2 linked regions of the Cricetulus griseus genome follow. The protein of the gene in region 2 interacts with the protein of the main gene of each other region in a pairwise test. Links are inferred from orthologs where the notes say so. Each region holds a gene or a part of one and is shown on either strand. Other genes may lie near its edges. The genes, in order: Hemk1 and Chn1.

Region 1 (3,815 bases), on a different chromosome or scaffold from region 2:
AAGCCGGGGCGCCAAGGTCAAGATGTGGGTAATGATGTCCATGCCTTCCTCACCACCATCCAGGGCCACCAGGTCTTCATAACTGAACGGAAAGCATGGCAGGTAAGAGCCTGGGGTGGCCAAGCAGGCCTTCACAAAGGGCCCAGTGGGACTGAAGACTCTGGGTTGACAGGTAAGCTGAGGGAGGATCCATTAGCAAATGGTTCCTAAACAGATAACAGGTTTTACTTTCCCCCATAGGGCAGGGCTAAATGGACTTGCTGAGTCCCACTGACAGACAGCCCTCAGGGCATGAGGTGCCCTCAGAACCTAGCTGTTCCTGCTCTTGATCTGAGGACATTTAAAACCCAATCCTGACTACTTCTTTGAGCCCAGAAAAGAGGCTCCAGCACCCACCCTGTGTCACCAGTGCTTATGTAGGGACACATGGTTACCCTGAGTTTCCCATCCTTATAAATGTAGGATGGTTTTTCCACAACCAGAGGTTTCAGTGCTGGCTTTTCCATGAAATCCTCACGGGACCTTAGACAGGGCACCCTCCCTCTCCCGGCCTTGGTCTGGTGTAAAATGACACATCCCTCTACGAGTGCCTTCTATTAGGTCTCGCTATGCCGGATGCCAAGTCCTTCCCATGGTCCTGCAAGCACTACCATTCCTCTTTCAAAGCAGGAAATGGAGACTCAGGGAGGCTAGGGGTCTCCAGGAGTCAGAAGTGCAAAGCTGAAAATGGTCCCAGTAAGGCAGCAAGCTCTAAAGTGTGCCTCTTTAACCCTGCTGTCCCCCTGGGCCCCCCTGTTTTCTCCAGATGGAGTCTTCTAGCCCAGGCCAATCCTACTAAAGCTTCTCTGCCACGCCCACCTACCCTGTACCTGCAAATCTCTGGGGCCAGTTGTTCCATGTCCTTGTGGAAGATGTAGGGAGGGTTACTGACCACCAAGTCCACAGGGCCCCAGGGCAAAAGGCGTGTCCAGCACCCTTCTGTGGGCAAAGAGGACACATAGAACGAACTGGTCTACTGAGAAGGAAAAGTTGGTAGCTCTACCTGCCACCTTGTCCCTTAGGTAGTCACTGTCCTCAAGTCATATTGAGGGCCTGTCTTTAGACCTGGTCAGACTTGAAGATGAGTAGCCAGAGTCCCCACTTAGCAGACTGGCCAGGAGTGGACATGTTCTGACGTGCAGCCCTTCACCTAGCATGCCCATGTTTTCTCTGCTTCTGTCAAGACCTCCTCATTAAGCAATATTCAAGTGCCACCTCCAGTAAGCCCTCCCTGATTACACAGGCAGAGGAAGGGCTTCCCACTCTCTGCTTTATAATCAATATAATCTCAAAGCATAGGGAGGACAGGCCGCCCGCAGCCAACCCTTATGGCTGTTGTCTGGGTCCCACTTGTACCAGATGCAAAACCGGGTGCATCACACTAACATAAAGCCCGGGGATTCCATGGCTAATAGAAGGATCAGCACTGGAGCTGGAAACCTGAGGATACTGCAAAGCCTGCCACAAGCCTGGCATAGCCTGGTGGAGGCAGAGAGAGATAAATATGTATTTAGGCCCTAAAGTTTTCTTTCTTTGAGAGCTTGTTTGGAGGTTCTAGCAGGGGAGTGCAGCTACTCGTATACCCTTGACGGAAGACCAGTCCTCCTCTATTCGGGGAAGGTCGTCCTCTTCGACCGAGTGGGGAGGAAGGGGACACCCGCCTAGCCAGCCAGATCAGCCGAATCAACCCTGGCGATCAATGGGGTGACAGATGTCGGGGCCAAATCGCCCTCACATCCAAGTTTTCTTTCTTTGTTGTTGCTATTTTGTTTGATTTTTGTTTTTGTTTTTTGAGATGTTTTACTTTGTATCACAAGCTGGTCTAGAACTCACTATGTTGAATTCACAGGAGTCCTCCTGCATCCCCATTGCTAAGGTAACAGGTGGAGGCCCTCACAGCTGGCTCTGAACTGCTTTCCTTTGAACATCTGTTTAATCTCTTGCCAGTAAACAAACACTAGTTAAACTTATCAGTTATAGGGGATCCAGGAGAAGAAAGACTTTGTGGCTGGGAAGTGGCGGCACGTACCTTTATTGGCACCACTCAGGAGGCAGAGACAGACAGCCGGGGCTACACAGAGAAACCCTGTCTCAACACCTCCCTCCCCAGCAGAAAGACCTTGTGGCTAGTCCCTTCATGGGTCAGATCAGCCGAGGAGATGACAACAACAGCACCCAGTCTGTCCTCAGCAAGGGCTGCTCTGAGACGGCCCACTGGCCCACAGGTATGGTTACTGGGGAACCCTTACCACATTTCTGCAGTGCCTCACCCACCAGCAAACCTTCTATCCAGGACACCCACCCCAAGAAGACGAGTAGGGGGTGTACCTGAGGTTACATCAAGGCGAGTGATCCGAATCCTGTCCTGCAACTGAAGCCTGGAGAGATGGGGAGGTGGTGGTGAGCACAGAATGCAAGCTGTTGCCCTTGGCTACGAGGATCAAGAGGGAAAGTGAGCCCTTCTTAGATCAGCAACACAGCTCATAGTCCATCCATTTATAAACCCGTGGGACCCATGCCAGGCCACCCTCATCGCACCTCTCCCTCAAGAATGGAAGTCAGACACTAGGTTTGATACTAGAATAAAGGTCAAGTTCAGGTCCCAAAGTCTAACTCCCCAGTGCTGGCTCTCTGGACCTCCCAGCCCATATACCTCTGAGCATTCTCACGGGTCAGGCTAACAGCGGCTTCTTCCTTATCCACAGCAATGACTTGACTCTGCCCCAAGAACAAAGCAAAAGAGGTGGAACTCTGGGAAATGTTTGTCTGGGAACCTTCAGCTAGCTCCCCAGAAGAAAGAAACTTGTAGCAAAGCTTTCCTATAGTTAGGTTCCAGCCAGACCAACAGGGATGGAAGTCAGAGGTGACACCATGCTGTGCTGGGCGCACCTTCCTGTTCTGGCCACTTTCCCTCAGTGCTTCTGCAGAGGACGTGGAGAAAGGGCCAGTGGGTGACTCTCTCAATGTCAGGTAAAGGCAGGGTAGAGAGATGCAGGGGTGGGGGGGCTTACCTGTGGGAGCTGACTCAGAAGGCTGAGGGCAATGGCTCCTGATCCACAGCCCACCTCCAGAATGAGGGGACCACCTTTGGTTCCCACTGCAGGGGGCCTCTGGGCCACTTCCTCTAAAACCCATTCAACCAGTTCCTGGAAGGCAGAGGGTCTGGATCAGACTGGGTGCCATTCTTGCTCCTGGGGAGCCTTAACAAAGCGGTCCAAGCAGCTGGCTCCTAGTGAAGGCAGATGGGAGACTGCCAAAGCCAAAGTGATCTTGACATCAGCAAGGACTCCGGGTGGGTCATTCTGTCCCTGCCTCAGCTTACTCATCTGCAAAATGGAGCACTCCCCTCAGGAACACAGTAAAGATTAATCAGAATCACATAACTGATCCCTTATCTGCTGCGTTTGTGCACAATGAACCCCAGCTATGCCATCCAGACATCTTCCCATTTTTACACTCACAGCAATGCTGAGAACCATATCTGATGGCCAATCCCTCTATGCCTAGTCCTGCTTCTAGAGCACTAATTTGCTAGACCATCACCACTGGCTCATGAAGAAACACCCAAGAGTCAAGGCCCTTATCTGGAGCCTGAACTGTGGAGCTGAGGATATAGTGCAAAGGAAGAACACTTGCCCAGCATATAAGATCCTGGGTTTCACCCCCTAGAACCATGGGGGTAAAAAAAATAAACCAGGGTGGCTGGTGTGTCCTCAGCTTTCTCACAGGGATGAGTTTGGGAATTTCCTAGAAGACTCCTAGGCCAAAGGGACAAG
Region 2 (3,815 bases):
ATTTAACAGTCCAAGAGACAGAACAAGATGGCCATGCTCAAAGCCACATGGCTGATTGGTGGCAGTCCCAGGACACAGATCTCAGGCTCCTGGCATCTGGTGCAGACCTCTTTTCTGTCTGACGAGCTGCCTTTAACTTCGGTGGTATGTTCAAGCTCATGCATACCACCCTAGCTGTTCCAGACAACCCAGGTAGGTATTCAGAAGTCGCCCTTTCAGTGAACCCTCTGCACCTTATGAAGCTAAACTGCCCCCAAAGTGGTGAAATATTAGATTTCTGCCAGAGCAATAGGAGAAGACAATAAATCCAACAAGCATATGCTGATTCTAGGTGGCTGAGGTTATTTAGGAGGTTACCACAATGCCTTAGTGACCAACAGGCAGGGGAGGGAAGCAATTGGTGTTAAACTAATGCCAAATACAATTTTCTATTTTCCCCATGACAAGGAAAAAAAGCTATGAATAGTTTTGATTTCTAAAAGCCAAATTTAATAAATTAATAATGCATGCCAGGTAAAAATATAACTTTACAGCTGAAAACCAATAATTTAACAGAAGATGCTGTGTGGTGCATTTTTATTGATAGGATAACTTACTGAAGTAACAGGCCTGAAAACACACTTGCTTTTGCTGAAGAGAAAGCACTATGTTGGAGAAGGAGAAGCTGGAAAGGAACTGTTGTGGAGTTGGCATATGGTAAAGTGATGGTGATGCAATAGCCAGGGCACTGCTTATGTGTGTGTGTGTGCAAGCATCAGAAACCAATGGCATGGACCCCAAAAGCAAAGTCATGACAGTTTACTCTGGGAAGCATGCTGGGTGACAACCACAGACAAGCCAGGACAGAGAGGTGATGCAGGTACAAGTCTGTGATTCCTTGATGTGGGGTTTCCTCACCAAACAGGGGTAATCATGCAGTAGCTTGAGTTTCTCTTAACATGATAAACACCCAGGATTACCAGAACCGGAAAGCGTGTGTTCGCTGTTTTACAAGGACAGCTGAGTGGTGCTACAGAAATGACAGAAAGTTCCTTCATTTAAATCCGGGTATTTGGTCAAACCTCTAACCAAGAAACAATGCAGCTAGTGAAGCTAATTAAATTACTAGAAAACCTTCCTTCATGTGTAAACCATTTCCCCTTAAATGAAAGCTCTAAAATAAAATGTCTTCATTTTTGATCAGCAGCTCCACCACCAGTCTCTGGTAGCGAATGTCATTCAGGGCGGCCATTGGATCGAGCTCTGGGGACCTCATGAGGGTTGGCCCAAACACGATCCCAAGGTTCTCTGCACTCATCAGATTCTCCTTCTCATGAAGGGTCACTCTGAAAGACACAAGTGCAACACAGATGACTTCACTGACACAGGCTCTTCGTCAAGTCCAAACCTCCAAATGGAACCAGAGCCACATCAAGGCTTGTGTTCACTGGCCAGCTCTCCCAAGTTGTTTTTCCGTGCTTCTCGGAAACATCAAGGAATGTGACTTCTTTTGAAGTAGGTCATACTGATAAAAAACTTAAAGTCCTGGTGATGGCTGGGCTCACATCTGGACTGTGTGGGTTCTGATACTTGTGGACTCTCCTTCTCAGATGTTATTTCTGAAAATGGAGGAGGTGGAGGAGGAAGAGGTCTGCCCTTCCTTTACTTTGGCTCTCAGCTCCTCCTGGACCTGTCTGCAAAGTGAACCCTGAGTGTATAGGAGAGCAGCTGTGAGAGCAGAAGAGTGGCTCAGGGAGGACAATCAGGCTCTGCCTCTCTTCCTGCTACCCTACAGCATCAGTGCAACCATCTTAGAAAATGGCTACTTTATGACAGAACTAAAGCCAACTATGCAGCAAACTTTACGAATGGGATTAGTTGTTAGCATACTCAAAGAAAGTTTTAACTCACAGTGCCTTTAAAGGGGGAAAGAGCTGGGTGTGTGGTTCACACCTTTAATCCCAGCACTACAGAGGTGAGGAAGGCAGATCTCTGTGAGGTGGAGATGAACCTGGCCTATATAGTAAGTTGCAGGTCATCCAGGGCTATATGGCAAGACACTGTCTCAAAAACCGGACTAGAAGGAGGAGGAGCAAAGAAAAAAAGAAAAGAAGAAAGGCGCAGGTATCCACGAGTGACTGTAATGTCATGTGCTTTTGGATGACGCATGCTTTGGGGCATATAGAATTTTTGTTTCTAATTGATTTTAGAGTTTGAGGCCCTAAATCCATTGATGTCATGTAACTGTGAAATTTTTGTTTCAACTCACAGAGAATGATCATCATCAGTCATAAAACAGTGTAAAATTCTAACTGAAAGGATTCTTCCTTCCTCCATCACTGTTTATGCCACTGTCCAGTGTTGGTAACAGTAGTTAATTGTCTAAAATCCTATACCAAGATTGGAGCAATAAGCTAAGAAAAAGGAGTTGCCTCACAAACTGACAGCAGCATCCCTTTCTCCTTCTACAAAATGCTCTCCAACATCTGCAGTATACTAGCATACTCACAAACAGGTCCTAGAACTACAAGGCCTGGGTGTCGGCATGAGGCTGGCATGTGGTACTGCTGTGCACAATATTTTTAGCACCCTTTCCGAACTAACGCAGTTTCTCACAAGACAATGCCGCTGTGCACCTACACATTCACTCAAGAGAACGTGTCCCTTCTTTCACCTTTTGCTTAATTTTATTCTTGAAATTTGGTTGTAACTTGCCTCTTTAGATGTGCCATGAGGTACCGGAGGGTTTCGCAGTGGGCAGGCGGCAGCAGTCTCAGTGCTTCATGAAGGGTCTCCAGCTGCTCATCAGGGTCCATAATTTCTACAATAGCAAGGAGGGAGGATGCTCTAGCAGAAAACTGATGTGACTGCCTAGGAATATTCTCCCGTGATGCTTTTGTACAGCAAGTGAAAAACAGTATCTCACTGAACCTTGCTCATAACCCAAAAGTAGCTGTCCAAGGCCATCTTAGCTTCAGTGTGGAAACAGGGCTTAATGGGCTTCCCCCAGCCCACTTGAGGGTCTTATGGTCTGGCAACTGAAGAAAATGGACACACTAGGTATTCAGAATGTAACTGTAACAAATCCAGACACATGCAGACACACAAATAAAGCCTTATACACTCTAATGAATTCATCTGAGAACATTATAGATATACATATTTCTCAGAATATTTTGGAAACCCCTGTAGTATACAAGACAAGCTAGCCTACTGCCTCTTGGGACTCCTGGCAAAGTCTTACTGACAATGTTTTTTTTTCTTTGCTTTTAATGATGTTGCTTATCTTTGTAGTGGTATGGGCAGAACCCACACCTCATAAATACTAGGCAAGCACTCTACTACTGAGGAATACCCCAGTCCTTTTCTTTCTAAGAAATGTATCATCTAACATTTGCTTGCTATATGTATTATGCTGTGTGTTATAGAGCAAAATGAATTCTCCCTTCAAAGCATGAGGACTCTCCATTTCTTAGAACATGTTCTGAAGAACACCCAACAGGCAGTTAGCTCTAAGTGTGCTATGCCATGGTGGCATCCTGTGTTAAGGGGGTTCTTCCAAAGGAGTCCACCATGAAGAGAAGATCTAGACAGCTGAGATCTGCACTAAGGGCTCACACACCAGCTCTTCACTGTAAGAGCTCTGCTCCATCTGCCAATCATACCTGTAACACAAACAGCTGAAGCTGTTGCACTTCTGTGCTCTTGAAAAAGCAATCACGTTCTCACTCTGGTTACAAGGAGTGTCTTAAATGCCGGGCCTCAGGCCAGCCACAACAGGACTTAACACATGATTAGGAGTCCCAATCATGACAGCAGCCCTGAAATGCTGGGAA

What was found.
Region 1: the proteins of Chn1 (region 2) and Hemk1 interact in binary tests that used the Homo sapiens proteins (3 or more experiments, as listed by UniProt). The two-hybrid records come from large-scale screens. The link is inferred for Cricetulus griseus from reciprocal best matches to the Homo sapiens genes CHN1 and HEMK1.

What each region holds. Positions count from the first base shown.
Region 1 is NC_048597.1:215,506,671-215,510,485, forward strand, and holds part of Hemk1 (MTRF1L release factor glutamine methyltransferase), read right to left. Parts: intron 3,186-3,815; coding exon 3,051-3,185; intron 2,758-3,050; coding exon 2,693-2,757; intron 2,418-2,692; coding exon 2,368-2,417; intron 979-2,367; coding exon 870-978; intron 207-869; exon of another isoform or gene 83-206; coding exon 1-82. UniProt on the Homo sapiens protein: N5-glutamine methyltransferase responsible for the methylation of the glutamine residue in the universally conserved GGQ motif of the mitochondrial translation release factors MTRF1, MTRF1L, MRPL58/ICT1 and MTRFR.
Region 2 is NC_048599.1:101,528,270-101,532,084, reverse strand, and holds the end of Chn1 (N-chimaerin), read right to left. Parts: intron 2,801-3,815; coding exon 2,695-2,800; intron 1,326-2,694; coding exon 1,154-1,325; 3' UTR 477-1,153; downstream 1-476. UniProt on the Homo sapiens protein: GTPase-activating protein for p21-rac and a phorbol ester receptor. Involved in the assembly of neuronal locomotor circuits as a direct effector of EPHA4 in axon guidance.